4 linked regions of the Notamacropus eugenii genome follow. The protein of the gene in region 3 purifies or fractionates together with the protein of the main gene of each other region. This does not show direct contact. Links are inferred from orthologs where the notes say so. Each region holds a gene or a part of one and is shown on either strand. Other genes may lie near its edges. The genes, in order: BRIX1, NOP2, NOP56 and GNL3.

What was found.
Region 1: the proteins of NOP56 (region 3) and BRIX1 purify together in Homo sapiens (affinity purification with mass spectrometry; 3 studies listed by BioGRID and IntAct, with this or other methods). This does not show direct contact. The link is inferred for Notamacropus eugenii from reciprocal best matches to the Homo sapiens genes NOP56 and BRIX1.
Region 2: the proteins of NOP56 (region 3) and NOP2 fractionate together in Homo sapiens (co-fractionation; 3 studies listed by BioGRID and IntAct, with this or other methods). This does not show direct contact. The link is inferred for Notamacropus eugenii from reciprocal best matches to the Homo sapiens genes NOP56 and NOP2.
Region 4: the proteins of NOP56 (region 3) and GNL3 purify together in Homo sapiens (affinity purification with mass spectrometry; 4 studies listed by BioGRID and IntAct, with this or other methods). This does not show direct contact. The link is inferred for Notamacropus eugenii from reciprocal best matches to the Homo sapiens genes NOP56 and GNL3.

What each region holds. Positions count from the first base shown.
Region 1 is NC_092875.1:426,527,712-426,535,004, reverse strand, and holds the start of BRIX1 (ribosome biogenesis protein BRX1 homolog), read left to right. Parts: upstream 1-4,281; 5' UTR 4,282-4,332; coding exon 4,333-4,662; intron 4,663-7,293. Other genes in the region: cell cycle checkpoint protein RAD1, read right to left, coding at 562-670, 2,174-2,368. UniProt on the Homo sapiens protein: Required for biogenesis of the 60S ribosomal subunit.
Region 2 is NC_092874.1:194,961,431-194,969,321, reverse strand, and holds the start of NOP2 (28S rRNA (cytosine(4447)-C(5))-methyltransferase), read left to right. Parts: upstream 1-4,887; 5' UTR 4,888-4,923; exon of another isoform or gene 4,924-4,950; intron 4,951-7,891. UniProt on the Homo sapiens protein: S-adenosyl-L-methionine-dependent methyltransferase that specifically methylates the C(5) position of cytosine 4447 in 28S rRNA. Required for efficient rRNA processing and 60S ribosomal subunit biogenesis.
Region 3 is NC_092877.1:46,627,988-46,635,421, reverse strand, and holds the start of NOP56 (nucleolar protein 56), read left to right. Parts: upstream 1-4,418; 5' UTR 4,419-4,932; coding exon 4,933-4,935; intron 4,936-5,323; coding exon 5,324-5,413; intron 5,414-5,791; coding exon 5,792-5,906; intron 5,907-5,981; coding exon 5,982-6,143; intron 6,144-6,287; coding exon 6,288-6,486; intron 6,487-6,557; exon of another isoform or gene 6,558-6,696; intron 6,697-6,799; coding exon 6,800-6,987; intron 6,988-7,077; coding exon 7,078-7,229; intron 7,230-7,388; coding exon 7,389-7,434. UniProt on the Homo sapiens protein: Involved in the early to middle stages of 60S ribosomal subunit biogenesis. Required for the biogenesis of box C/D snoRNAs such U3, U8 and U14 snoRNAs. Part of the small subunit (SSU) processome, first precursor of the small eukaryotic ribosomal subunit.
Region 4 is NC_092872.1:1,727,980-1,735,748, forward strand, and holds the start of GNL3 (guanine nucleotide-binding protein-like 3), read right to left. Parts: upstream 3,014-7,769; 5' UTR 2,927-3,013; coding exon 2,914-2,926; intron 2,460-2,913; coding exon 2,401-2,459; intron 2,238-2,400; coding exon 2,100-2,237; intron 1,908-2,099; coding exon 1,797-1,907; intron 1,429-1,796; coding exon 1,345-1,428; intron 423-1,344; coding exon 287-422; intron 236-286; exon of another isoform or gene 159-235; intron 1-158. Other genes in the region: PBRM1 (protein polybromo-1), read left to right, coding at 5,386-5,433. UniProt on the Homo sapiens protein: May be required to maintain the proliferative capacity of stem cells. Stabilizes MDM2 by preventing its ubiquitination, and hence proteasomal degradation.

The sequences.
Region 1 (7,293 bases), on a different chromosome or scaffold from region 3:
AACAATATTAAGCTGCTATGGAGCTAAAAAATTTACCTGCCCAGAGTCCAAAATAATCCTGAAGAGTTTTTGTGATTTTACATCTACATCAAATGAACTATATGATATTTTACATTTTTGCCATTTCTTTAAAATTCCAAAACTGAAGTGGAAGTTAATACTTTAAAATTCTGAGTGCAGGAAAATGTATTAAACTATTAAAAGGTTGCTTTAAAAAACAACCATAAGCATATTTAAAAATAATGTTAATAAGTCATTATAACAACAATGTAGCTAGAATTAAGCTATTCAAATAACTTCAAAAATTAAAAATCTGGGCCATTTTCAAGTCTTTTGGTTATTTCAGTTTTAATTCCCGAGTGATTAATATATTTAAAAAGATTGTAATTACCTCTGCAAATATGAAAAGGGTCATAAAAACACCTGGTATTTTTCAAAAACATTCTAAAATTTTAAAACGCACCACTGACTTCTGAGTAATGAATTCTCGTAATTCTAAATATCATTCCTGAATTGACGAGTTCTTCATATTGTTATATCACGACAGTAACAATGATATACCTGGTAAAGGAGTTGAACCAAAAATTGTCAAACAGTCTAGAAGGACTGTCAAATTGATTCGAAATGTTACAGATTCTTCCTGAACAATAAACTCTTGAAATATTTCAGCCTGTAAAAAAAAAGAGGTATATAAATAAATATAAGTATGGCCATTTATACTAATGAATTAAACTACTCTACATATAGTTCCAAAGATTTCACACTCCATGTATTTGAAAGTAGATCAGCTTGGCTGTGCCATTTACTACCTAGGAAAACTTCAGCAAGTCCCATTACCCTCTGGGCCTCAGTTTCCTCATCTGTAAAATTAGGGGGTTGTACTAAACTTACAAACAATTCTGATTCTTAAGTTGGCATTTATTAGGTCCCTGAATTCCAATACCCACCAAATTGCTGTATAAATTTAATTTCTGGGCTGCCAGGCAAAAAAGAACTCTCTTCTAGCTCACTTACACAAAAATGGTCCAACCAATGCTCTGGAGGCATCCACTCTCTCTGCAGAGCCCCTAAACACAAAGGAGGTAGCCTAGGCTACGAGTGACCTTCATCTGTAAAAATACATGATTAATTTCTGATTGCCAATATGCCACAAAACCTATTGTGAGAGTGAGGAGAAGTTTTCACACTAAGATACTGTTAATTGATGAAGTCATTGAGAATAAGTTAGATAATAAGGCCAGAAGACTGCAGGTGGACTCAACCAATCAAAAGAGAGACAGTGGCCTTTAGAAAATCAGTTTTTGATAAAGGAACCAAATCCACAGCTAGCTGAAAGTAGCCAAGAAAAATGACCTAGAGTTACCTGGAGAAGGTTTCCTTCACTGTGCTTGATTAATGAACCTCATGGATATAAGCAGACACAGCATAAAATTATCCCTCCATTTTCTAACATGGGTCCTATGTTAAAGCATGTTTGGGAGGGGGAATCACACTAAGGGGGCTTACATAATGAGCATGTAGAGAAGATGGTGACTTAATGGAGAATGGACCAATCCATCTCCTGGTGGGAGGATCTGTCTTGAACTAACAGTATATGGCTCATCTCACTTCTGTATTCAGCACTCTCTCCTCCTGAAAAGAAGGCGGGGTGCTTTGGTCAAAGTGTTCAATTCCTCTGAACTCTACTGTAATAAATTTTCCTTGATACCTTTTTAGTGTCAAGAGTGTTTCTAACACCTATCACAAGCAAAATTTCTATAAAACAAAGATACCTAAGCTTTATCTAAAAACCAGATATTTCAAAAAGTGTTACAATCAACAATACAGGATAGGGAAAGAACTTGGACAATCCTTTCAGCTAATTTTAAATTTCGATCTGTGAATATTATGTAGGATTCCTACAACACTGGTGCTAGAAGGGATCTAAGAAGTCATGTAGTCCAATACCCTCATTTTGTAGACCACAGATGAGAAGCTAGAAGGGACCCCGAAGGTCATCAGACCCAAACCTCTTATTTTGAAGATGAATAAACTAAAGCACAGAGAGATAAAAGGACTTGCTTGTGACTTCTGACTCCCAACTTCAGTGCTCTTTCCCTAGTACCAATTTAACAGATTACCCATTCACAACAGATGAAGAATGAATAGTGTAAGAGTATGCTTGCCCTCGTACCTGAATGAATGCATTTGCTTGCAGACACTTTGCATTTTCCACTGTAACCTTGATTCCATTTGTTGTTGCAAAACAGGTAGCATGGTCTTTAAAATGAATAGCTTTTAATATGTTTGAGAGATTCCTTACATTGTCAAGGCTGGCAACTAAAATATATTGATCGCTTCCATCTTCAGTCTGTGTGGTAAGTGGCATTTTCTATTCCACATAAGTTTCCTTCCACTGGGTTTTCCTAATTTAAACTGGAATTAATCAGCTGTCTGCCTTGGTAACCTATAACAAAAATAAAATCTAATTTGAGTTCAGTGACTCCAGAAAAGAATTGCTTCAGTTGTATCCCCCTCCAAAAATGTTTTTTTTTTTTTTGCCAACCAATTTTGTTTTCTTAGCAAAATGTATAAGCACAACTGTTTACCTCTCACTCCACCCCCTCCAACTGCAGGAGAAAAAAAAATGTGTAATGGAAACATTACTAAATTAGAAATCAAGAGGCCTGGACTAAAGTGTGAGTTGTGCTATTAAAGGACTTGTGAAGTTGGGAGTCACTTCTCTGAGGATGTTTCCTGAAAAATGCCCTAACTGACTCCCATAGGGCTGTTCTAAGAATAAAATAATATATTCACATTGTAAAACATTTTCACATGATTTCACAATCACAACTTGGATTTTTTTTTTGGGTGGGGGGGGGTGCCAGACCTGTGAATTCATTAGTTTGAAAAAGTCCTGGTGCAGAAACTCACTCTAGAGATGCAGACAGACAAGTAGTCTACAATTTATAATTGTAAAAAGCTGCTTGGAGCACTGAAAAGTGAAGTGACTTGCCCAGGTTACTTGGCAGATGTGTTTCTAAGGGAGGACTTGAATCCAGGTCTTTCAGATTTCCAAATTTAGTTCTCTATCCACTACTCCAAAGTATCTGATGATAGTATAAATTTTATACAAAACATTAAGTCAGGGGAAGTGACTTGTCCCAAACTACATCTCAGCTGAGTCAAAGCCAGGATCTAGGCAAGTTCTCCCCATTCCCCGTGAAAGGAACATGGGGTTTAGAGCTGGAGTGATTCCCAGAGATCGTTCAGAATAAACACCGTATTTTACAGATAAAGCGGAGGTTGCGCAGTGTAGCTAAAACAAGTCACTTAATCTTTGTCTGCTTCAGTTTCCTCATATAAAATGAGGGTCTCCTCATATAAAATATGTATCCTCGTATAAAACGAGAATAAAAATAAATGAGAAAACAAAAAAGAGAGTATAAATATAATAAAAATATAATATGAAAATAAATGAGAAAAAATAAAAATGAGGATATAAATGTAATGAAAATAAACATAATGTAAAAATAAATGAGAAAATAAAATAAAAATGAGTCCGAATACAATAAAAATATGATATAAAATAAAATGGGAATAAAAACACGTCCCAGGGTAGGGGGAGGACCAGAGGCGACGCTTCTAAACCGCTTCGCCCGTTACTACCGTTATTATCTTTGTAACAGGCCCAGAGAGGTTCGCCGGTTAAAAAGCTGGCACACCAAGGATCCGAACTCAGATCCAAGCTCTTCCCCAGTATTCACGTGGCGCTCCCAACGGAGCACAGCGCTAGGGCGGGTAAAAGGTTCTGTCTGTCTACACCGCCCCGACCCAGGGAGGAGACGGAACACACCGGGGGGGTCCTCCGGCTCCTCGCTTCTTCCTTTCCGGCGCGGCTCAGGGGTCCCCTCCTACGGAAGCTTTTCCGGATCCCTCCCGGTGCTGGGTGCTCCCTTCTCCTCCTCCCTTTCTCTCGTATCGACTCATCTAAGCGTTATTTCCACCTCCGGCTCCTCCGGGGCAATGGCTGTTTGTCTCCGCGGCCCCACTCCTAGCTCAGTGCCTCACTAGCCCAAATATCCGTGGGTAGGAATAAATTCCCAGTCCCGTACGATCCTCGCAGCGTTCCGAGAAGCCTCGGCTCCCCTCCGCCCCTCCAGTGCAGGCCGGCCTCAGGTGTACCGTTTTTCCCGCCCCCAAGGCCGGAAGGAAGCCCCACTTCCGGCTTCCGAGGCGGACGGGAAGTGTCGGAGTCTTGGCTTGGTTCTACTGCGCTTGCCCAGACCCCACGACTACACAGTGCGACAGCCGTAAAGGAAAACCGGGGTTGGGTTGAGCTACGGAGGAAGCATGTGCTTCCACCCCGCCCCCTTCCCCGCCCTCTGCCCCGCCCCCTGCCCTGCCCCCAAACGCTTTTGGTACCATAGAGACGGGAAAGAGGAGAGAGAGGCAAGGCGGCAAGGAGTGGAAGGCGAAATGAACAACGTGCGACCGCCGGAAGAAGGGGGTCTGGGCAAGATGGCGGCCGTCAAGAGGAAGCGGCATGGAGGAGGGGGTCCCGAGGCGAAGAGGCCTAAAGGAAAAGGAAAAAAGGCCGGAGCGCCGGCCAAACAGCCCCCTCCAGCCCCAAAAAAGGCAGAGGAAGAGGAGGAGTACCGCATCCCGGGCCCCGTTTCCAAGGTACGAGCGGCAGCTGAGGGTCTCGCGTGGGAGCGTGGGCCCCCGCGTGACCCCAACCCGGTGTTCTCCCCGCCAGGGTGCGGCGGCCTGGCGATACTCGGCGCGGTGCAGCCCTCGGCCCCCCTGTCCGCTGTCAGGCCGGGCTCGCGGCGGCCCGCGCACGTGGTTGTCGCTTGGGAGCGCAGGCCGAAGGGCCTGTCAAGTCAGCCTGCACTTATTAAGCGCCTACTGCATGCCAGGCGTTGTCCTAAGCATGTTTGTTTTAAACAGTCCCTGCGCAAGGAGTTCAGTCCACACGAGTTCAGACAACGTACGAACAGCTAGGTGCCACGGCCTACAAAAGAGCTGGATTGGGGAGGGGCGTGGGGGGGCACGAAGGTGTGTGGGCATCCCTGCCCCTTGTGTCCGGGCTGTTGTTAACCCCAGTTCTCCGCTGAAGAAGCGGGGGCACCCCGAGAGGAAGGGGCTTGCCCAGGGTGGCACAGCTAGCGTCCGAGGCAGGATTTGAACTTAGGTCTTCCCGCCTCTGACAGGGCTCTTCCCTGCCCTGACGGGTTGTAGGCAGAGGAACGTTGGGGTTTGTTTAAGGTGGTTCTGTTACTGGACCACGTCTTACTGGACCACCGCTGAGGTTCGAGCTTGACGGAGGTTCTGGAGAAATTCCAAAATAAGTCAGGATTTCTGCTGTGCGTCTTCCTTCGGGGCCTCCTGGGCCCTAGATGTTGTGCTCGGGCTTAGGGATTTTAAACATCCATCCAGAAATTCACGGTCACGGAGGACGAAAGGGCAGCTGACATCCGGGAGTCGTGAAAGGTCCGCTGTGGCCCGTGAGCTGGACCTCCAGGGGAGCCAGATGCGGCCAGGGTTTGTGGAAAGGGCAGAGCATGTGAGAGGGGGACGCTGCAGTGTGGACCATTGGGGGTGAATGGGTCTGGAGAGAGAGAGTGGAGCTAGTGTGCAGCTCACTTAAATGGTCAGATGTGCTGCGAGTGCAGAGGAAGAGGAGGGGGAGAGGCCTTTTAAATTGGCCTTGAAAGGGTGTTGGGATTTCTGTAGGGGAAGAAGAACAACTTCAGTTGGAGAAGGTGACTGACAGGAACAAATGTGTCAGAGTGGCACAAGTGCCATGTGTGTTTTTTGGGGAAAAATAGAGTTCAGATTGGAAAGAGTGAGGAGTTCATGGTGGAGAGTTGAATTAGGAAAGGGAGGATGCAGTTAGACTGTCAGGAGTTAAGGGGCTTGGTAAACGATGAAGCACCAGGGGAGTGATGTGGCCAAAGAAGAACTTTGGGAAAATTAATCTGGCCATGGTGTTTTGATATATTGAAGAGCTGGAGCTCTGGAGGCAGTGTGAACAGTTAGGAGATTATTGACCTCATCTGGGTGTTGACACTGAGAATAAAAAGGAAGATATGGAGATGAAGGAAAAAATGGGCAGTTTGGATGTGGGGGCTTACAGAGTAAGAGAATTTCCTAAGATTTAGTGCCAGAAATGTATGGTAACATACCCAAAAGAGTCTGAGGAGAAATTTGTTTGAGGGAATAGAAATGAGGTGCATTAGTTTGAGGTATAACAGGCAGAAATATAAGAAGTTGGAGAGACTGGAGATTTAGTTATCCATCTACAAGCATTTATTAAGTTTCTCCTATCTTTGAGGCACTATTTTAGGCATGGGGTACAAAGACAAAATAGTACTTGCCATCATGAAGCTTATATTCTATTTGAGAAGACTGTGTATACAAAATAGATATGGGGAGGAGAACTAGCAGCTGGAGAGATCAGGAAAGAATGTAGAAAGTGGCACTTGCTCCAAGTTTTGTAGGCAACAAGCTGTCAAGAGGCTGTTGGACTCGAAGACTTGTTCTAAGGTCTCTTCCAGTTTTAAATCTGTGATTTCAGGAGGACGTAAGAAGGTGTTTAGAACAGCCATTGCAAAGGTACTGAGTTGAGAAGTGGAGTGTTGGCCTCCATCAGCTTGGTTGTGTGATGCTGCATATCTCCAGTCTTCAGCATATGAACAGGAGTGGAAGCAAGTGGCAGATGATGAAAATAATCCATGGATAGGTTTGGTAAGCCATGAGGATTGATAGGGTCAGGGGTCAAGGAACAGTATAATGCTGAACTGGCCAACTATAAAGTGGAGATTGGGAAGGGGCAATAAAGTGGAGCCAAAGCAGAAAATCAGAGTTAGATAGCTTGAGAAAGTATCGAGGGTTGGGATCAGAAGGCACAGGGATGATAATTAGTAGGTTTAGCAGAGGTAAGGGAAAGATGAAATTAGAAGAGGTTAATCTGATAAAAGGGATTTTGGAGTTTTTGATTCTGAATGGTGGTAGTTGAAACTATATGCTTGGAAGAATATCTTTCAAGTCTTCTATCACCAGTTACCTGTGAAGATATCTCCAGGTGGATAACCTGTAGACAATTCAAATATAAAACAGAGCTCATCTTTCTCTGCAAATCTGCTCCTCTTACTAACTTACCTGTTTCTTTTTAGGGTCCTGCTTCTGGTCTTTCAGGTCTGCATCCTTTTTCTCCATTTTTTTCTCACCCCTCATGAAATTCATTTGGCAAGTCTTGCTGATTCTGTGTCTACAGTATTTATTGTAGCCATCCCCTTCTCCCCATAC
Region 2 (7,891 bases), on a different chromosome or scaffold from region 3:
AAAGGGACTTTGTGAGAAAAGAAGGCAGAGAAGAGGAACCTGACAGCAAATGGCTTCTTTTTCTCAGTATTTGAGAAAAATTGGTTTCGCTGGCCCTGAGTGATCACGTCTCCCTGATTCAAGATGGCTGATATCCCCCCAACACCCCAGCTGAATCTTTTCCTCTTCAATCTTCTTTGCCAAAACATTCATCCTAGCATGAGACTCTTCCCTAGCAAAGTAACTACAGGCTTACACCATTGCCGCTTTTGTTGTCTGCAGTCTCAGCTCTGCTGGTGCCCTCATCATTACAGATAGAGATCTGAATTGATGCTTGACCCTCAGAGCCTTCTTCTGTTCACCTCTCTGGTAGCCAAAGCTTTATTTCCCCCTAACGTATCTTTGTCCACTTCCTGGGCACGCACGACAACTAACTGCCCTAGAAGTCTCTCAAGTTAAAATGAGAAGGGGGAGAAAGGAGGGAGGCACTCCCCAGCACAAATCTAACCCCTCTCTAGGGTCCACTAGGAACTTAACTCTTCCCACTTGAAATGTCTAAGACACACCTTCAGCAAGGGGAGGAGAGTCACCAGCCTTTTAGTGATCTGAAAAAGAAAACATTGCAGTGGTCCTTCCCTCAGTTCCCAAACCACTCTGAACTTTCCAGCAGATCAAAGTTCAGAATTAGGAGAACAGCTGTGGGTTCTCCTCTTATAATGTATCCTCATTATGTTTGTAGTTACAGTGATTTAAATAATTTAAATTTATTGAGTGATGCAATAATTCTTACAAAATTTTATATCTTTAATGTTTTTAATATAAAATATACCCTCTTTGGCTGCAATTATTTGTTTTAGATGTTTTTGGACTGAGTTCACAAGATATTGACACATTCTCTAATTTAACAGGAAGTCACACTTTTATCACACTGGATTTTAAGCATAACTTTAACAAATAGCTCATTTCCCCAAATCTAATCTTGATTACTGCTTATAGGGTTTTTTAAAATTTTATCTTCATCTCTGAATTCTCTCCCTCCTACACCCTGCCCCCCAATTCTTGCATTGATTGAAAAAGCAAGAAAAATAAAACCTGTCACAAACCATAGTCAAACTAATAAGTTTTCAATAAGTCAGTTCCAGGTCACTGAAACATGTTTATCTCTGTCTTAGATAAATCCTTATCCTTTTGTGACATATATACAAGGTAAGTTTTCCTAATACTTCTGGAACAATTCAGCTTCTCAGTATAATATAGTTGCCAGCATTCATCATTCCTACATTGGGGATAAGAATTTCACTCCTGATGAAGTAAAAAGATTTCCAAAATATTTTTTTGGAGGAATGGATGGTTTAACAGTTTGATGAAGATGCACGTGTTTTACAGGTTTATCTGGACTTCTGGTATAAAACTTTGAATGAAAAAGATGAGTTTCATAAGAAAAAAACATTACCTTTTCCTAATCTTCATCTGTCTTTGTATTATCTTGCCCACCATAAGCAGTTTTTAATTCATAACAATAATTAGCAACTTTTTTTTTTTTTGCTTTTCTTCCAACTTTCAAAAGCTTATGCCACGTTGTAAAGGAATCAGTAAAAGCTCCCAAACCCGGGGTTCTCTGAAGGTCTGTGCTTATCTTCTGGGAATTAATCAGGCTATTTTGTAGTAATATTTTGTCAGTTCTCTGTGTTGTTTTCCTCTTTTTTTTTTTTTAAACCAGTGCAACTGATCCTGTTTCATTGGGACAGCTAGGTGGTGCAGTGGATAGAGCACCAGTGCAGGAGTAGTTCAAATTTCACCTCAGACACTTGACACTCACTAGCTGTGTGACCTTGGGCAAGTCACTTAACCCCAACTGCCTCATCCTGGGTCATCTCCAGTCATCCTGATGAATATCTGGTCACTGGATTCAGATGGCTCTGGAGGAGAAGTGAGGCTGGTGACCTGCACAGCCCTCCCTCCCTTTAAACAAAGTCCAATGCAAGTCCTGTCACCATGTCTCTGATGGCCTGGACGAACACACACCACCCTGTTTCACTGGGACTTGAATGACCATTGAAACATGATTTCCCCACACAAATAGTGGCTGAGTACTTCTAAGAGTCACTGAAGCGTGCTTTTTAAGAACTACAACTTTTGCACGTTCTCACTGAAAACCACCACAACATAGAATCAAAAGCACAACGAGAGTCATGAATACGGGTATGGGGCACCAAATCCAGCACCCAACCCACGAGAAGTGGGGGGGGGGGGTCAACATCCGAAGCTGTTAAGTCAGCCTGGCGCAAATACGCAGCTCCACGGGTCGCAGGCCATATTACACCCTCCCAAGAGAACGGGAGCTCCTTAGGCGCAGGGCTAGTCTCTTTTGTCTTTAGACCACGACCAAGTATATACAGCCTTGAACGTGGGCCGAACTGAAATGAGGTCCTCGCCCTTTAACGCACCAACCCCCTCCACTTACCTTAGGAGGACTGCTTCATAATTCATGAGACGAAGATCCTCCTTCCCTCAACCAGAAGTCCCGCCCCCACGCGCCAAATGCCCCCTAGGGATAGTGAGTTCATTTCTGCCCTTACTTACCCCCGCTAGTTCCGGTTCACGTCACGTTCACCTCTGACCATTGAAATGTTGCCCTTCGACGAAGCCACTTCCGCCCTCATTCATCCCGACTTCCGCCTCGGGGGTGTCCGTCTCCCCAGGTGCCCGTACTACCAGAATCGCTCTAGTCGCTCCCGGAAGTGACTGGGCCTTTGCACCCTCCCCTCCTTCTCCTCCCACCCCAGTTCCCTCCTTTCCCCACCCCTCCTTCGTTTCCGGTGTTCCCGCCTTCTCGCCGCAGCGGCTCCTCTCCAGGCCTGTGGGGGGAGGGGGGAGGGAGGGGGGTGGGGAGGGGAGGAATCTGGGTTCTTCAGTGCAGGAGCGCCAGCAGCACTTCCGGGTGAGTGGAGAGGAGGGGGGGCGCCCAGTGCCTCGCGCCCCCGCCCTGCGGGTGTGTGGAGCGGGGCGTGTGTATGTGTGTGTGTGTGTGTGTGTGTGTGTGTGTGTGGTGTGTGTGTCCGTCCGTCCGTGAGTACACACGCCTCCGGGGTGGGGGGCAGGAGGGTCCGTCAGTCCGCCCAGCGCCCCGAGTGCGCGCGCTCTCTCGAGCTCCACTTCCCCTCATCCCATTTCCCTCCCCCCCACCCCTCTGCCTCCTCCCGGCAAAAGGCACGCGCCGCCCCCTCCCGAGCCGCTCTCTGACTCTCGCGCCGCCGCTGCTGCTGCTGCAGCCGCTGGAGCCGGGTGAGTCTCGCGGCGCCGCCGCCGCCGCTGCCGGCGCGCTCCGTGTGCCCTCCTCCCTGTCCCGAAGGGGGTGGGGGGGCTCTGTGTGTGCCTCTCCCCCCCTCCCGGAACCGGAAGTGGTTGTGGAGTAGCGGGCGCAGGGGTGGGGGGCGGGGGGAATGGTGGGAGTGGGGGTGTAGGGGGTGGGTTTCTGGTGGGTGTTGGAGCTGGGCTCTTGGAGGGGAGGGATCCGATGTCCCAGAAGGGCTCAGAGGAAGGGGGCGTGAGCAAGTGGGGGGAGACTCTTAGCTGCTGCCTAGGGGGAAGAAGGGGTGTAGCAGAGCAGAGGGGGCCCTGTGGGGGGGAGGGGCTGAGGTTGGAGCCGGAGGGGCTTCCTGGAATGGGGCCCTTGACAGATGAGGGGCAAAGTCCTCCCAGGGGCTTGGGGTGGGGGGGAATGGCCCGTGGGAGTGGCTAGGCCTGCACTAGGCATTCTGCCTCCTGGCACGAGAACTTGGGGAGCCCCCATCCTAGTTGTCCCCAGATTTGTCTTCTGTCCTCACAGGTGGGAGGTGACCAGACTGTCCCCTTTCCCCCTCCTTCCCAACCTCCTTTTTTCCTGGCTTCTGCCCCTTGGGTGCCTGTGAGAAGGAATTGAGTGTCCAAGCTTTGCTCTTGTGGGGTGCGTGTGTGGGGGTGCCTTTCACCTCATGCTGAAATGGTGAAGATAGTTCAACTTCTTTAGTAGGGATTAAATCCTTTTCCTAGTGACCAAATTCCTGTGCTTGTAACCTTCCCTCTCTTGGGTTAGAGGCAGGAATTTTGCTTTCCCTCCAGACTGACAGCTGACAGATTGGAAATCCTCAGAGGTCCCGACATCTCATTAATTACATCCTTTTTGACCATTCTAACACAGACACTTTGTTTTCAGAAAGTTCGGGAGCCTTGAGGAGGAGGAGGAGGAATAGGACAGAAGGAGGAGGAGAGAGAGGGTAAGAAACCTTTAACATAAAGAGGGGAAGAGAAGGTCATTTTACCCATATTGAATGTTTTTCTTTAGGTAACAAGTTAATAATGCCTTTTGTTGTTGCACGACACTTTATACGAAGTGTCCGCCTGTAGTAGATCAGTTTAGAACTTCCTCCAGTTTTGAAAATGGTATTCAGACTAGCTTTTGGAGATTCTCACTATGTTGGTCTGGGTGGCTCTTTTAGGCTGTTCATCAAGAGACTAGTTAGGGTTGGGAGCCCCAAGTTAAACCACCTCTGATAGTCACAGTGCCATTTAAAGAGATGCTATTTGTGTTCCCATGTGGCATTGCTCAGCAGTGATTTCCTGCTATTGGAGTGAGCACAGCTTAAAGTGAGCTTCTTTCCTTTGCTCTTAGGAGTGCGGAGGTTTAGGGTAAATCTTCTGATTGAGAGATTCTAGTAGTTAGTGTGTGTCACTAGAGAGTTTTAATTTGGGGACGCAGACAACATCAGATTCTGAGAGTTCAGAGTTGGGGCTCAGTTTGAAAGAAATTGAGAATTGAATTTGCTTGAGAGTTAGGTTTGGAATTTAATATAGAGCTAGCCAAAAAAAGATTCTTTCATAGTGAAAGAATTGTACGATTCTTTTTTATAATTGTTAGATTGTAAGACCGACAGGTAGAAAGAAGCAGTGTTCTGAGATACCTTGGTAGAGTAAGCTAGTGACTATTTTGTGGTAAAGCTAAACAAGACGTGTTTTTACAAACAGAAAGAAATTTGAATACATAGCATCCATTACTGTAAGGTAACTACTGTGAACTAAGTTTAGGGCAGTATGGAGTGAGCTTTTTTCTTTGCTCTTAGGAGTGTAGAGGTTTAGGGTAAATCTTCTGATTGAGAGATTCTAGTAACCCGTGTGTGTCACTAGAGAATTGTAATTTGGGGACCCAGGCAACATCAGATGCTGAGAGTTCAGAGTTGGGGCTCAGTAAGGCTTACTTTCCTTAGGACCCTGAGTTAACAATGACTTAAGTTTGGGCTTTGTCTCTGTCAGAGATAAGTTTTCTCCCCACGGCCATTACTGACCTGTTTTCTAGAGACCCCAGACTTTCCAGGACCCAATTTCCCTTTTCCATATGTGCCTTACCATTATTCTTAGTGAGAATGCCAGCACAAGGAGAAACTATTTTGAAAGATACCTCTACTAATTTAGAATCCTGAGGATGCTGGACCAGGAACTGCTATTCTAGATGGCAGGCTGTTTGTTGGGAATAGTCCTTTTGTTTTGTTTGGACATGAACAGTGGTTCCTGTTCAACAGAGTAGGGACAGTTTTTGAGACATACATGAAAAATTCCTTCAATTCCATTTGCTTATTTGACTGTTCTTTGTAGTTCCTTGTGTGCTTGATGGCACTGAACTGAAGTGTATAGGCAGAAGCTCAAGCCTTATTTCTCTCTGTATGACTTCTCAGTTTATGTGGTCTCTAGCCATTAGTCTTTTTATAGCCCCCCAAACTCACTTGGTTCTTACATTCCCATTAGTTCCCTCTATTGCTCTTCTGCTGGGGTGGGGAGAACAAAACCAAAAAACTTTTATCCTTGCTGACATATGTCTTAGCATCTTTTCTTCACAGGAGTTTTCCAAGCATGTTAAAGCCATATGTTGAAATAAGAAGGTATAAATCTAGAACTCAAAATTATTTTCTCATTCTCTTCTATCAAGTGGGCTGGGTTAAGGAAAATATTCCCCAATACTTAGCAGTGGACTTTGTCCATACCAGATGCTTAATAAGTGGTTGTTGAGTGGATTGATGAATAAGGGTTTCTTTCTAAAAACTATATAAAAGGATTGTGTCTTCTTTGGGAAAAGAAATTGAGACTCTAATAATGTGTGACTGTTATTTCTAGTGGGGAAATCAAGGGAGAGGGTCTCTCTACTTAGACTTTTGTGATAGGGTGATACTCTGGTGGCACTAGCATCATCATTTTATTTATCCCTTAGTAGCAGTATGGTAGGTTAGAATTCTGAGTTCTTGTTTGTGTGTGACCTCAGACAAATTACTTATCTCTCTGCTTCGATTTCCCCCACTTCTGAAGTGTAGTGTAAATTTCCCCAGATCCTTTGCTTCTGGATCTTTTGAGGATTAGTGAAGTAATATGTGTGTGTATGTAGCTCTTTGAGCCTTTTAAAAGAAAAATGCTGTTTAAATTCAAGGCTGTAGTAATGTTAAAATGTATAATTCTCTTCCTTCTTAATGATGATGTAGTTGATGCCTAAAGAGAGCCTTCTCCAAGGCCTTGCAATGAAGAATTTGTCAATAGATTCCAGATTTTCTGATTCCAAGCTTCTTAAAAGTCCTTAAAATTCATTTAGCATAGTAAGATGCTCAATACATATTAGTTGATTGATTGGTATAGTTTTGTACTGTCATCTCGCTTTGACGTTATAAGCTTCCCTGTGTCTCCCTGGACTAGTATAAGACCCTTAAGTTATTATTGACGACAATAGTACAGCAGAAGAGCCAACTTTCTTTGGTTTGGAGCCAACTATTTGTGGGTAGTTTAGGGGCTGTGTATCTTTTCCTCAGTATTGCATATTAGTATGTATCTTTGATATGACGGCTTTGAGAAGGATGGTGATGTGTAAGAGGTGGTGAGGTGGAATATAATAAGTAATAGGAGAAATAATATTGCATCTCTTGCTATGACTTTTGGGTGTTTTAAAGAGTGGTCTTTTCTGGTGAATCTGTCTTCAGCTTTCATTCCTCCTCTTTTTATTTATTCCTTTTCTTTTTATTTAGTGATTTTGTTGGTAAAACCAAAAAAAAAAACGTTAGAGGATTAGCACATTTGTCATCCTTTCCTCCCCCCTAAAAAAAATATTATTTGTGATCCTTAGATGCCTTTGCAGGGAGAAGATGGTGGTTTGCCTGAAAGCTGACCACCACTGGCAGTCTACCAGTCACCATTTCTTATCTTGTCCCCAGACCTTTTACAGGCTCATTCTTTCTTAAGAGTTAGAGAAGAAAACCAGGCAGATGAATATGTAGAAGTTCCTTTTTTCCATTATAGAATAAGGCTCCATCATTTTAAAATCCATTTACCTTGGTGGCCAAGACAGGATTTAAAAAAATAAGACAAGCTGCATTTACTCTCCAAAAGACTCGTTATGTCTCCACCTAGTAAATGAGAGTACCAGTGATACCACTAGAGAGCCATTCTCAGGGTTCAAAACTCCCTGAATTGGATTGAATTGTTTTTGTTGCTTTTGTTCATCTTCAGGCATCCCTCTCTTTAGGTCCCTCTGTCTTCTATTATAGTGTAGTGTTCTTGTCAATAAGGTATATCCCTATCTCCATTTCAAAAGAAATTAGAGCGTGCCTTGATTGCTTTTTTAGGATTTACAAAGTATTCCCTCATAACAACTCTTTGAGGTAGGTAGTACAAGTGTTAGTTTCCTCATTTTGCAGATGGGGAAACTGGAGATAATGATTTACCCATGGTCCTTCAGCAAAGAGTATAAATGGCATTTGAACCCTGGTCTCTTGGCTTCAAGTCCAGTCTTCTTTTGTATATTAGAGGAAAAATGTATAGTAAGTACAGTGAATCCCTTTTAGCTTCTTCAGACCTAACTTCTGATTCCTAGTAGCTATCAATAATTTTATTTCTATGCATT
Region 3 (7,434 bases):
ATCACAAAAAGAGCTGCTAGAAATATTCTTGTACATATAGGACCTTTTCCTCTTTTATTAAAAGATCATTTTAGGGGTTAAGTCTATTAAAAATTAACAAGGGCTATTTTTACCATTGGGTTGCACTGATGAAGTTTAGTCAGCAGACTAATGTGCTTGATTTAAATAAAATCATGTAGCAATTGCACTTTGCAAATTGCATTTTAACCAGCAATTTTTTTCCTGCCAAAGGATTTAAGACCTTGGAGTGTATAACAAATCTGACCCATCTACTTCACCATTAAGATCCCCTTCAAAAGGCTTATAATGGTTGTGAGCTTTCCCCTGATAAGGCTAGGGGAAAGAGGGCCTTTACTTCTCAGGTCAGGGATTGAGAAAATGCCAGTTCCTTCTCAGTCCCTTTCATGATGTGGCTGTCCTTCCCATCTTATATAGTTTGTACTGTATAAATAATGGCTGAGGGAATGGATGATTCTTTGCAGATTAAGGAGACACTGCCCACGATTTCCAGTCTGTCTTCATATAATCTGTCCTATGGCAACCCTCCCTCAATTATTCTGGCTCTTTTGGCACATGCAGAGGTCATAGGATCCCAATATTATAGGCACCATAGCGGGAAAGGAATGATTTGGGGGCTTATGCTGTAATCCCTGGGGAGAAGGGGCCTACCTTCCTTGCTACCACTGACTAGTGACCAACTGTTACCAATGAGTGGGTAAGCCCAGGAACCCTAAGTCCTCCCCTAGAGCACTGATCCTGCTTCCCACCTGGCCGTGAAGCCATCCATCATCCTGGCAAACAATCCCTATAGAGGTAGGATGTGGTAAATGCTTCTGCCGCTTAAAGTCTGATCTGCGGCCCCTTCTACTAAACACCCAGAAAAGAAAGCTCTCAATACTAAAGTCCTTGACATTGTCAAGTTGTTCAAAATCAGAATACAGGGATGATTATATCCATTTAAATCCATTAAAGAAGATGCATTACCAACTTCTTTGCCAATGGACCTTTCTATAGGACCTGAACCAGAAGCTTCCATTAGAATGTGTGCTCCCTGGGAGCAGAAACTGTCTTTTCTATTTGTATCTCCAATGTTTTGCACACAATAAAACCTTAACAAATGCTTTATTATTAACCCATTCATTAGGTTATAGTGATCCTCGATGTCTACAATTTTAGTCATCTTTTCTTCCTGGGATCTTATATTTGGCCTTAAACCCCTGAGAAGCTGTGCAGAATGAGAGGTCTGCCTACCTCCCTTCCTGGGCAGCTTGGCTGTGTTGGTAGTAGTGTAATGGAAAGAACACTGATCCTGGTCAAGGGACCTGAATTTGAATCCAGATTCTGTTACTAACTGGGTGACTTATGGCATGTGAAGGGGTTAGACCAGATGACCTCTATGGTCCGTTCCAGGTCTAGATCTAGATACTAAATTCCACCTTTATTTACTATTTCGGTGATGCTGGTTAAGTCACTTTACCACTCCCTGTTGCTTCATCTATTCAAAAAAATGATAATAATGCTTATAATACCCATTTCATAGAGTTGTGGGGAAGAAAGTACTTTGCAAGCCTTAGGGACCTATAGAAATGGAAGCTGTTACTCTTACAGTCAGGCCCAGTTCTTCCTCTAAACATCACTGCCACATCTACTAAGTACTTCATGGACATTTCAAACTGAATATCTCCAATGTAATACATCCCAAACTGAACCTATTTCCCCTCTTCCAAACTTTCCTGTTTTTGTTGAAGGCATCACCATCCTCCCAGTCTCCCAGGTTCATAATCTCAGCATTATCCTCCACTTCTCAGACTCCCTTACCTCACATCCCAATCAGCTGCTAAATCTTGCCATCTTTTACATCCCAGCCCTTCTCTCTTCTCACATAGCCATCACCTTGGCTCACTCTCATCATCTCTTGTGTAGACTTTTGCAACAACCTCTCACAGTTTGGTCTCCCTGCTTCAAGACTCTCACTGTTACAGTCTATCCCACACAGCTGCCAAAGTGATTTTCTTTAAAGCTCAGACTTGATCATGTTACTCCCTTGTTTAACCAACTCCAGTTGCTCTCTACCACAATAACTAGTGTTTAACTATTTTTATTCTCCTTATATTTCTTCTGTATGTACTTTTAAATATTCTTATCTTCCCAATTAGACTGTATAAACATCTTTTTGTGTATGCACTGTTTCATTCTTTGTACTAGATTTACTGTGCACCTAGCCCAGTGCCTGGAACAAAGTAGGTGCTTAATAAATGCTTGGAGATTGACTGTTCCTGAGACATACATAAGTGGCTGCCCATCTGACGAACAGTGTAATTTCATCATTACTGAATTCTCACTTACATTAATAACCACCCTTCTATCCAAACAGTTTTACAACAGTCTTTTTCTAGAATTCAGCTGTTAGGCCTGACTTTTTAGGGCCCTACCTAAAGAGTTCATTATAACATGCTATCTGGTTACTAATAGGAAGGAAAGCATTAAACAGGGAGCTATGGCCTCATCAAAAGTATTTGCCATTGCCATGGAGGATGACTAGCACAGAATATAAATTGAAGAGGGTTTTCCATTACAGGATCATGGAGATAAAACTGAAAGAAACTTAGAAGTCATCTAATCCAACCTTGCCATTTTACAGATAAGAAAGCCAAGGCCAAAAATTACCCAAGAAGTAAGTATCAAAGTATAATAAGGCTTTCCAGATATTTCCATTTGCAAATAACATTGTGGATGAATAAAACTCTTGAACAGCAAAGAAACCTCCTAAATAAATAAGATCCATAATCAATCAAAAGTGAGGGATCATCCTTGCCTTCTCATTCTTAACTTCCCACATACGCAGTAAGTTATCTAATATCCAAATTTGTTGTTTCTCCTCAACATCCCTCCTATCTACAACCAATTAACGTGGAAAAAAATCTGTCCTATGTTCTATTTCATACTAATGGACAGCTCACCTCTGCATAGAAGCAGGTGTAGGTGATTTCTTCATACTGGCACAGAACAGCCATTACCCCAGTCCAGGACGGGGGAACCTGTGGCCTCCAGCCCTCAGCTGCCCCCGTCCAAGTCTGAACTATTGCAACATTCTCCAGCATGGCCTCTCTACCTCAAGTTCCTTTTCACTAGAATCATCTTCCATACACAAGCAAAGTCATTTTCCTAAAGCATATGCCTGACTCTGTCACCACTCTACTCAATACAGTGGCTCCCTATTACTTTTAGGATCAAATATAAACTCCTTTCAACATTACTCTTCTCCACACTCTCTGTGGTCCAGTAATTTAGGCCTTCTTGTTAAATAAGACACACACACACACACACACTCCACACCGGTACCCTTTCCCTCATCTCCCTTCTGCCCCTTTGCACTTTACATCCCTTTCTAACATGTTTTCTTTTCAACTCTGGCTCTTGGAAACCTTGGTTTCCTTTAAGACTCGTCTCCAGTACTAGTTTCTAACAGAAGATGTAACTGGTTCCCTCAGTTGCTGTGTCTTCCCCTCAAAGGTTAACCAGCATTTGCTTTGTATGTGTATGTAGTTGTACACTTTGCTTTTTATTTTTAAAAATCTTAATTTATTTTCATAAATTCCGGGAACAAAACAAACACTTCCATAACACGGTAAATAAAAAAGATGACTGCACATGAAACTGCAAATCTGCTTTGCTCTTGCCGCTAAACGTACAACAGTTCTCATATAAACAATTTTTTTTCCTTTCCTCCCTCATCAGGCGGTGGAGCCGAACCCCCAAAGCCCCAAGGCCACGTCCCTGGAGGTAGCCCAGCCCCGCCTCAGTAATTCCCTGGGTCGAGGACAGATGCAGGGGCGCCTGGCCCAAGGATTTCCGTCCCTGGCATGAGCCCCAAGGACCACGCTCGGGCATCGCTTCCGTCCTGTCCTTCGACACGGCGCTCTGAGGCCTGCCACCACGCGTGGCATTCCTTTTCCCACAGGATTCCTATCAGGCCGCACGTTCCCCAAAGGCACTTGGGCTTCTCTAAGACTCACAACACACCTTGGCCGCTCCTAGCCCTTATCTCCCCACCTGGGTAAGGCTGCCATCAGACACAAACACACTGCTTTTCCTTCTGGAAAGCAGGGGCTGTTTCGGTCCGGCCTTGGCACAAGCATCCCTGGCCTGGCACAGGAGGCGCTCAATAAATGGACCGTCCGGCTTGTGCTCCGCGGGGACCTGCCGCCACGTGTCCCGCGGCCACCGAGCGCGGGCTCGCTGGGCTGGGCCGGCAGCCCTGGGGAAACGGGGCCGTCCAGCGTCTCCCTGAGGCAAGTCTGGACAACGCTAGTGGGCAGAGCGACGTGGGAACACTACTGCAGGTCAGTCCCTGCCAGGCGGTGACCTTCGGAAGGAGGCGGGGAAAATATGCGACCGGAAACGGAAGCAGGCCGGCTATGCGTAAGGGGCGCGAGGGTAAACGTACGGACAGTTCACGCACGCCAACAGGTTATCGCGAGAACTGGAGTTAGACTTGCTCTGCCCCGTTCCTCCTTCCCGCGGTAAAGGCTGGTGGTGCTTGAGCCTGCGAGCATGGGTGTTGACCTCTCCCGTAGGTGGACGTGGCTCAGAGACCCATCAGTTATCTCATTTTCTAATACCTATTAGATTGATCGCAGCTACGCTCCCCCAAGGGCCGCTGGTCTGCGAAAGCTCCGCCCCACTCCCACCAGCGCCGCTGGAAAGGCGGGAAGCAGCGCGCACGCGGAGGCCGCGGTGGCGCCTATGACCCTTCCTTACTTCCGGGCGAGGCCATTTTCTTCAGTTTCCCCCTTGGTCTCCTTAATTAATGGTGCCTTCCTCGGGTTCTGAGTGGAGGCTTCCATCCGGAAGAGGCGGGGCTAGTGAGGCTAGGGTTCCTGCGTGTCCGGCGGGAGGCCCGCATTGCGATTGGGGCTTCAGACTGCCGCCATGGTGAGCTGGGTGGGGGCCATGGGGCAGGGGTCGAGGGTCGCCGTGCGGTGCAGCTGGGGGGTGGAGGGAGTCATCCGGCCGGTGGAACTAGAGCCTACTTAGCTATCACGGGTGTGAGGTGGGGAGCAGCCCGGCAGAGGCCAAGGGGCCGCCGAACCTTGGGCCGCGTGCGTGCGGCCTTTCTGTGGGCTGGGGCTGGGCGCTCCCCGCCGGACAGCAGGGCAGCGTAATGCTCGCGGAGCATGGGGCCCTGGGACCTCCCGGAGGGCCTTCGGGGATCGGCCTGTGGGAGCTGGGCGGGCAGCGGGGAGGTGGGCCATGTGCTCGGGCCGGGCCTGAGCAGGTGGGTTTCGCGAACCCCCTTCATTTCTCCCTGGGTCTCTCCTAGGTGCTGCTGCACGTGCTGTTCGAGCACGCCGCCGGCTACGCGTTGCTGGCGCTGAAGGAGGTGGAGGAGATTAGCCTGCTGCTGCCTCAGGTGAGGCCGGCGAGAGAAGCAGGGGCGGGCCGGGGTCCCCACCCCCAACCCAGCCCCGGGGCAGCAGCGGCCGCCGAGCTGTGATGAGCATTAAAATCTGTCAATCCCCTGAGCAGAGTGATGTCGCCTAGTCTCTGAGCACGGTGTCTGCCCCGGTCCGCGGGAGGGAAGGCCACGTGCTCAGCCTCGTCTTAGATCTAAAACCTAGCCTTTGTTTGCATTTCTTGGGGCGGAAAGGGGAAGCCAGCATGGAAAGGGAGCCGTGTGCCCCAGGGCGCACGTTTAGTATCCGCTTTTCCCTGGAAATGGGAAATCGGGCCTGCCCTTAACCCCGACCCCCCCAACTGTAGCGGCCCTACACACTCTTTCCCTCCACAGGTGGAGGCATGTGTGCTGAACATTGGGAAGTTTCACAGTATCGTCCGGCTTGTGGCCTTTTCCCCATTTAAGTCCGCCCACAGTGCTCTAGAGAATGCTAATGCAGTATCTGAAGGTGAGTGGTCTCACCTCTTTTCTGTGATCTTTTGTGTGTCCCCTGTGCCCTTCTAACCTATGCTCTTATCCACAGGCATTCTCCATGAGGACCTCCGGCTTTTCTTGGAAACCAACATGCCGGCTAAGAAGAAGAAAGCTTTGCTGGGTGTTGGGGATCCTAAGATTGGGGCTGCTATCCAAGAGGAATTGGGCTACCCCTGCCAGACAGGTGGTGTAGTGGCAGAAATCCTTAGAGGTAAGATTTCAGGTGAATCACGTGGAAGTCATGTGCCTTGATATGGTAGTTGATTGGGTACCAGATCCTATTCAGGTCCTGTGCTCTGAAGGACATTAAAAGGGTTCTGCTTGGTAGTTTCTTATTCTGCCTGTTTTCTCCCAGGAGTTCGTCTGCATTTTCATTCTCTGGTGAAAGGTCTGACTGAAGTTTCAGCTTCTAAAGCCCAACTGGGACTAGGGCACAGCTACTCTCGGGCCAAGGTCAAATTCAATGTGAATAGGGTGGACAACATGATCATCCAGTCTATCAGCCTTCTTGACCAGCTGGACAAAGACATAAACACCTTCTCTATGCGGGTCAGGTCAGCTCCAGGGTTTGGTGGGGCAGATGTTTAAGCAGGGGCTGGATTTTGGACTGTTCCTCCAGCCCTACCACCTCCTGTTGCTTACCACAGACTGTGTTGTACTTTGCACAGACTGTATAGAAAAAGGAGGCAGAGAGATCTTCCTCTTATACACCTCAGCCAGGAGCTTGCCTGTGCTCTAGCTGTATTGTGAAAGGGGAGACAGTAAAGACTTGGGAATCCAGAGTATTGGGTTTGGGGCTGTGGGTGAGGTGTGGTTTTTCTGGACTACTACCTTTTCTTTCTGTTTAAGATCATCTCTTTTTTTCAGGGAGTGGTATGGCTATCACTTTCCTGAGCTTGTAAAGATTGTTAGTGACAACGCCACATATTGTCGCCTGGCCCGGCTTATTGGCAATCGCAAAGAACTGAATGAGGAGAAACTAGAAGCTCTGCAGGAGCTGACAATGGATGAAGCCAAGGCCAGGGCCATCCTGGATGCATCTCGGTCTTCTATGGGTCAGTGTTTCTGGTTGAGGTCTTTGTGGGTCAATTGGGGGAGAAGAGGATATTCTGTTGTGCACTAATTTGCCTCCTTGTTTTTCCCAGGCATGGACATCTCTCCCATTGACCTGATCAATATTGAGAGTTTTTCAAGTCGAGTGGTATCTTTATCTGAGTATCGTCAGAGTTTGAACAAATATCTGAGCTCTAAGATGTTCCAGGTGGCCCCCAGCCTGTCAGCACTCATCGGGGAGTCGGTCAGTCATTGGGGTGTGTGCTAGGGGGGGACTATTGCCTTACAGCTATTGTCACTTTCGTAGCTCCACCTAGCTGCCTGTTTTCTCCTTGGAGTTAGAGTGGGTTTGGTGGGATCAAGAATACTCTTGACCACAACCTTTTTTTTTCTCCCCTTCCAGGTGGGTGCCCGACTGATTTCCCATGCTGGGAGCCTTACCAATCTGG
Region 4 (7,769 bases), on a different chromosome or scaffold from region 3:
GTCATCCCTGACCTGGACAATCTATCTAGTCAAGGAGATCATATCTACAGAGGAAAAAAAATAATCAGGCTAACATATACTTAAGAGAATGCCAAAAACTAAACATCACCACGATGTTGGATGGTATCACCTTTGGCAACTAGAAAGAATGAACATTTGCCTAGGCTGAGGTCAGAGTTGGATCTTACAGTCTTCAATGGTATTTCCAGACTGATAGATATTTTCCTCATACCTCACATCTTGAAGAGATAAGGGTCATCTATTAATGAGCCAATCTATGGCTTACCTGTTTTATTCAAGACAAGCAACAGTTTTTTATTCCCTCCAGTCTTTGTAATGACTTGTTCCACCTGGGGACATCTACATCCTAAGGGATCTCTGGCATCCAAAACTTCCAGCAGAATATCTGAGGCCTCAATCACCTATGGGAACAAAGTTTAGAAACATACAAATGCTTGGAGGACAATACGTCCAAATTTTGTTTTCAACAGAATCACTCCCAGTTCCTCTACCAACCTCGTCACCTTCCTTCAGTTGACCCAGTTTGACAAATGTTATTATTAAAACGAGACTCTAGAACCAAATATTACAGGCATAGACTAAATGTAGAATATAGCCAGATCTTTCTATTCATGTTACTATGGCCTAAAATCATATCTTTTTTGACTGCCACATCAGACTTTTAATGCATACTGAGTTTCCAATCTACTTCAACTCAATAAATGGGTTCTGAACAAGAAATTGGCTATGATATGCTTAGGAATAGAGAGCTGCTCTTCTAACCATTTCTAAATCACAGCAGCATTTTCAGTTATCTCAATTTTCCATCTCTTACTGACGTGACTATTTGTTTAAGATGACTCCTAATTGGTAGGTCAAGAATGTATTCATACTACAAATATTTGGATATCCCATCATGAATGTGAAAACTTTTCACCTTTTCCTACATCACAGAAGTTAATACGAATCTTATCTTTTTAAATATTAGTCAAGAAAGCAGCTATTCAGTGGGGAAAACCTAGAAATAAGATCTCAGGTATTGAAGGATTTTTTTCTCCTGATCTCAGTGGGAAGAACAAAATATTATAGAGCTACCCACACGGTAGATAAATTAGAAAGGAAAAACTAAACTTACTTCCTTTACTTAACCTCTACAAAGATCAAGAGGGACAAATGTCAGCCCCATTCTAGGAATCAAGGACACAGGCCCATGAAAGGAGTGCGCCTCTCTAGTCTATTAAGCGTGAGTCAAACGTCCCTTCCAGCGACATGTATGATCCTAGGAACCTTTAACAGTCACTTTTAACATATTAAGAGAAAACCGGCACCTATTGGGAAAAGTACCTTTTGAAGTTCTCTACAAAATGGCTTTTTTGAAACCTGCTTGACTGTTCTGCGTGACAGCTTTGCCTTTTTTCCCACAAATTCCTAAATGATGCAGAGAGAAAAGCAGGACAAAAATCAGTATTTTACAGAATGACGTAGGGAATAAAACACAATGAAAAGGCTGGCCATTTTTTACTCTTGCACGTTCACGTTCCTCTAATAACACAGTGAACCCCGTAAGAAACTAGCCTTTCCCCCCACACGTCTCCATCCCTAGGAGTCCCTGTCCGAGTCATCTGGGCTTGGGCGATCCTTGCCCACCAGGTCTCCTGCAGACCCTTGGCTGAGGCCCTCTAAGTCAGTTGGCATTGGCCAAGGGCGGGCAGCGCTGTGCAGCCCGGGCACCCACAACCCGGGGGGGGGGGGGGGGGGCACTGACCCCTGCCCCCCAAAAGCAAAGCCAACCCTACCGCTTCCGGGGGCTGGGTCTCCGCAGAGGGAACGTCCCTGTCCTCCCTTTTCCGCTTCTGCCTCTGCTCCTTCAGCTTGCTGAGCTTCTGCTTCTCCTTCAGTTCTTCCAGCTGCTCTCAGGCCCAGAAGAACCGAGTCAGGGCGGTGGGACGCCCCCGGGACCGCGCCCCCGCCCCCCCCTCACCTGCCCCCGCCCCCGCCTCACCTGCCCCCGCCCCCGCCTCACCTGCCCCCCCCCCCCCCCCCCCCCCCCCCCGCCTCAGCCTCACCTGCCCCTGCCCCCACCCCCGCCCCCGCCTCACCTGCTGCTTCCGGCGCGCAGCCTCGCGGAGCAGGGCCTCCTTGAACGGGGCGCTGCCGGGCACGCCGGGGTCCTTCCTGGGCCTTCGGGCACCCCCTTTCCGGGCCGCCTTCCGCGCTTTGCGGTGATGCTCCCGCACCTGTTTCAACAAGTCGTTGGGATGGGCTCGGAAATTCCCGAGGTCCCGCCTGCTCGGCGAAAGCAACTTAACGACCCGGACCGGGCCAGACCGGGCCGGACCGCCCCGCGCCGGGCACGTCCCAGGGTGATCAGTGCCCCCCGGAGCGGACCACGACACCCACCTTTCTCTGGATCTTAAACCGCTTACGGCACGTCATGCGCTTACTCGCTTTTCTTAATTCTGGGAACAAGACAATTCAGAGCCGGGTCAGAACCGGGCCGGTGCTCCCTCGTACCTCCGGGGCAAGGCCCAAGGCGTGACCTGACCGCGCGGCCCGGACCGTTCACTTCCCTGCCTTTCGGCCCCTCCGCGCCCGCAGACGAGAGCGTGGCGCGGGGGTGGCTCGATGCGGGCGCTGCCCGGCCTGGCGGGCCGACCACGCCGCAGGGCCCGAAAACCCACCGAGAAGGGGGAAGGGCGAACCCAAGGGGCGCCTCGGCCCAGCGCCGGAGCCCGCCCGCCAGGCCCGCCGGCCGGGGACGAGCGCTCCGGGGCCCCGAGGCTCGGCTCGGCTCGGCTCAGCTCAGCCCAGGCCGCCCCCGCCCCGCAGGCCGCCCGACCCCGCCTCGCAGGCCGCTCCCGCCCCGGCCGCCCCGGGCCCCGCAGGCCGCCCGCCCGGACCACGGACACTCACTAGGCCGCTTCATGGCGCTGAGGAGGAAGCCGCTCCGCGTCCGGCCGGCTCGCACACCACGTGCAGACTGAGGCGCCGCGCCGTCACGACGTGCAGACGCTGCCGTAAAGCGCGCCCGTGCCCCAGCGTCCGCCCCGCCCGCCCGCCCCGCCCCGCGCCAGAACCCGGCCGGGCTCGCGCTCGCGCCCCCGCGCCCTTCGCTCCCTCCGGCGCGGCCCTGCCCCCTCACCCCAGGGCGCGCGCACGCGCACGGTCGCGCGGGGCCGGTCTCGCTTGGCGGCCGTGCGGCTGGCTTTGCGGCGGCGGCGGCGGCGGCACCAGGAGGGAGTCGGAGCCGAGCCGAGAGGGTCTGAGAGCAGGAGCGGGCCGAGCAGCGGCAGCGCCAGCCTAGCCGTGGCGGCCACGGGACGGGGCGCGGCGCCGGCGGTCGGGGACCGCGGCAGGGGCTGCAGGCGGCGGAGCAGCTGGGTAAGGCCGGGGCTCCGGGGAAGCGGCGGCCGCCGAGGAGGCCGCGGCCGCCCGGACGGGCCCCTTTGTGTGGCGGCCCCGGGGACGGGGAGCCCGGCCGAAGCCGGGGGGCCGCCCGCCGCCGCCCGCTCCCCCGGCCCTGCGAGGCGCCCCGCCGAGGACAGGGCCCCCCTCCCCCACCCCCGCCGGGTTCGGGGTCCCCCTCTTCGGGAGGGCCCCCTTCCCGCCTTCCCCCGAGATTCCTGAGTTTCCTAACTCTTCCCGACGCCCCCCTCTCGGGCTCCGGCGCCTCCAGCTTCTGGTTCTGTGAAATGGGGACGAGTCCCGCCCGGCCGGGCCCTCGGGGCCCCGGCGCTCCGGATGTCACCGGGGGGATCCCGGGGCTGGGGAGCCCCCCGCCCCCCCGGACCCGGCCGGACCGAGGCAGCTCAAATGGTGCGAAAGTTGAGAGTTCCAAAGAGCCCGCCACCGGCGGCGGAGACTCCCCCCTGCTGAGCGGCTGGGCCGGGCTGGGGTCTGGGCGGGGGGCGCCTCCCGCGTCCCGTGTCCCCCCAGCTCTGCTTCCCGGCGGGGGACCCTCCTGCGGCATCCCCAGAAATGAGCTGCTCCGTCCTCTCCCCAGAATGCTTTAAGGGGAAGGGCCGGCTCCGTGCTGGGAGCGTCCGGGAGGGCGCCCGGGATTTGAACCCAGAGCTTCCCGCGCGGCGGGGTCTGGTGAAAGATGTTGGAAGGAGGGGCGCTGCGGGGGGACGGGGGGACTCGAGAGGTGCGGGACGGTGAGGGGCCTCCATCTGCGGGGTCCAGGCCTCGTCCCGGTCCAGCTTGGTGCCCCGCGCTGCACCGGGGCCTGGGCCCCCGGGGGGCAGGTTGTCTTGCGTGGGTCCCCTTGGGAATCCCGCGGGCTGACTCCGCAGGGTGTCGGCGCGATCTTGAGGTTCGTTTTGTGAAGAAAGTGCTTGTGTGCGGAGGGGTGCGCGGTGTGTGCGGAGGGGCTCTGAGGGGTCTAAAGTAGAGCTGCTGCCTCTGAGGGGGCTGCGGTGGTGGGAGCGGTGCAGGCGAGTGCGAGAGTGCCCAGGCTGCTGGGCCGCCCCGGGCTCTCTGCCCCGGGCTCCGGCCCCCGCCCCGGGCTCGCTGCCCCGGGCCCCTGCCCCCTGCCCCCCGCCCCGGGCTCGCTGCTCCGGGCCCCGGCCCCCGCCCCGGGCTCGCTGCCCCCGCCCCGGGCTCGCTGCCCCGGCCCCTGCCCCCTGCCCCCTGCCCCCCGCCCCGGGCTCGCTGCCCCCTGCCCCTGCCCCCGCCCCGGCCCCCGCCCCGGGGTGCCCGGCCCTCAGGCAGGCGGCACCCCGCTTCCCTCTTAGCCCCCAAGTTCCTGGCCGCGGCCCGGGCTTTTTGGACGTCCAGAACCGAGCTCCAGAAACTGCCCTTTGGCACCGTGGGAACAGCACCCGCGAAGGGTTCCACATTTTCTTAAGCTGCATAAGTAAATAGCCACTTTTTAAACAAGAAACGTACTTTTTCGTGGACACTCCTGGTTTTTGAAGGTGCCTACAGAAAGTACTCTCAGAAAGTAGAAGTTTGGAGGTTGTCCTCAAGTGGCTTTCCCCCCGTATTTTAAAACTTAGGCCTCAAGTCATATTTTCTATAGACTTACCTAGTTATGTCCTAAAAACCGTAGCCGGACAGTTGGTTAAAGAAACGAAGTTGATCCAAGCACCTCTCGGTGACTGAAGATTTCTCGTTACTCTGTGAAGAAACCTTTTGGCAGGAATCGGTTCCCTAGGTGTTAACTAGTGTTCCTTTGTGCAGCTCTCCGTGGCATCCCTCTTCAGCAGTTCTGCTTCAGTGCTTGCTGTCTGTTCTCGCTCCTTTTACTTCCTCTGACCCTTCCTTTTTATTTTCCCTTTTCTGTCTGTTCTTTTTCAGTTCTGAGCCTAGTAACAGCTCTGCCGACTCAGCGCTTGTAAAGCTCTGCCTTCTCCCACTAGCTTGCCCTGGCCTTCAGACACAATGAGGAGACTGGCTTTTCGAGGCGCTGGTTGTACTCTGGTAAATCTGGTAAATCTCTGGTCCTTTACCCACCCGCTTCCTTTCTCCTGTCTTCCCCTGCTCGCCCTTCACTGCTGGCTTTGGGCCGACCCTTTAAGGAGCCCTTTCTTCTCTTCATCGGACTCCTGGGATTGCTGTTTTTGGATTGCATCAAGAGTATTTCATTATTTTTATGATATATTGAAAGTTTATCCGATTTTTTTAAACTTCATATTCCTGACCTATTTATATGAAATACCTTTTACCCCATTTAAACATTCCACACCTAACCGTAGACCTGTTTATACAGGAACCAGTACTATTGGGTCATTTTTTAAAAAATACCTTTACAAATCACTTTGAGTAGATAAACATTAAAAACTCAAAGTGTAGACATTCTTCCAGGGGAGAGTTGTGAGAATCCCCCATTTTCCTCAGTTGATCATTTGTTTCTGCCCCTATAAGAACCCAGTAGAAGGCTTGGCTTATAGCCTGGCAGAAACTTTAACAGCACTTTTCCCCAATGTTATTGGCAGCCAGGGTGTTTCTCCTTATGTTCTGACTTTTCCTAGTTTCACAGGAAAATGGAACGTGAATAAGTGGTCTAGAATCTTTAGTTTTAGAGCAGGGTCCTTGGAATCTCAGTTGATACTGGGATCTTCCAATTAAGTTAAATAAGCAAATATGAAATACTTCCTCCCTCCACCCCCCTTTTAAATTTGTCAGTCTCATCTGTCTTTAGCAGAGATGCAGTTAGTAATTACAACTCCCATGGTAGAGACGAGTATCTAGCAACAGCCCTGAAAGTTAAGTAGAAATTCAAATGCTGTTTCTTCTGTCGAGTGAAAAATTACAATAAATGACCATGTTATTTGTTACAAGTATGAACATTAACTAGAATTTTCCGTTATTAAACAGTTGATAAAACCTGTTGACCCTCAAAGGTCATTCCTAAGGCCTAACGTCAAAAAAGACCAATATATTTTCACTTCCTAATAAATACCAATAATAACGTAACACATTTGTGAAATACAGCATTTGTACTTTGGTCTTTTGGAAGATTGCTCTAGGTGGGCACGCTGCTGGCTGTAAAAGTCTCATCAGCAGGCAAATAGCAAAAGAATACAGTTATCAGGAGGAATTTGGAGTTGAGACAATCTCTGCATGGTTTACCGTTTAAATGCGGGCCATACGACTTAGTTGTCTTGGAGAGTGTTTTATATTGAGAGTAGGGTGTTTTCTGCCTCCAAAACAACCAAGCTGTTACTGACCTTCAACTGTTCATGACTAGATGTCACTGCCTTTTGTTTGATTCATAAGCAATTGACTTTTGTTTTAAGCAACCAAGTCGTAGTTGTTCTTAACATGATCTGTATTTGTGTTCTAGAATCTCAGGAACAGTTTATAATACCTCCCTTCTAGATATTATCCATAATGGCTTTGGCACCATGATAATGTTACCAGTGGAAACATTTGTTTGACTTTATTTAGAGAGAAGGAAATAATAGGGAGAGATGCCTAGATGTGTGTCCATTCCCTCCACCTACCTGTCCCATACCTGTGTCTCATCCTACGTGATTCCTATCCATGTCTCCCCATAAATCCTTCACTGAACATTCTAGAGGCCACCTCTGAACATCTTGGGCCGCCCATCTGCTCTTTCATTCTTGATACATTGTTGCCTCCATCTTTAATCTCCTAGGAGAACAATGGTTTTAAAATCTTTTGGAAGGCTGCTGCACGGTGCTGGACTCCTCACTGTAGACTAAGCGTTGTATTCCTGGGTTTCACCCTCCTGCCAAGTGATCCTTAATCTTTAGTTCCAGAATGCATGAATACAGTAAAACCTTACTAATTTGGTCTCAGTGAGGAAGGGCAGTCTGAATTATAGACTTTTTAAAGAGGTACAGTTTTGATAGTTCCAGCTATGAATAAGAGCAAGCCAAACTGCACTTCTGTGGATCCTGCCTGAATGAACAATACGTAAATGTTGCTAAAGGATTTGAGAATAAGTAGACAAAATATTCCCTAGTCCTCTGTAGTCATGGATGTGCTGTTCATTTGCCTAAGGTTTAGCTTAGCCTTGGTTGAATCAGTCCAGCTTAATGAGCTTTTACTGTATCTGCCCCACTGCAGTTGATGTGCAGCTGAAGGTTGCCTTTAATTAAAAGCATTGTTCTTGCAATGAAGCTTTTCAGTCATATAGCCCAGCACCTTGCACTGAAATGACTTGAGTGTTGCTAAACTTTTTACAACTACAATGATGTGCCTTAAATGAATCAAAAGCTTGGTAGCAAGTGGTCCCCAGAGGACTTTGCTCCCAAGTCCTCAATTTAAATATAAGAACATTACTAATTGTTTTATTA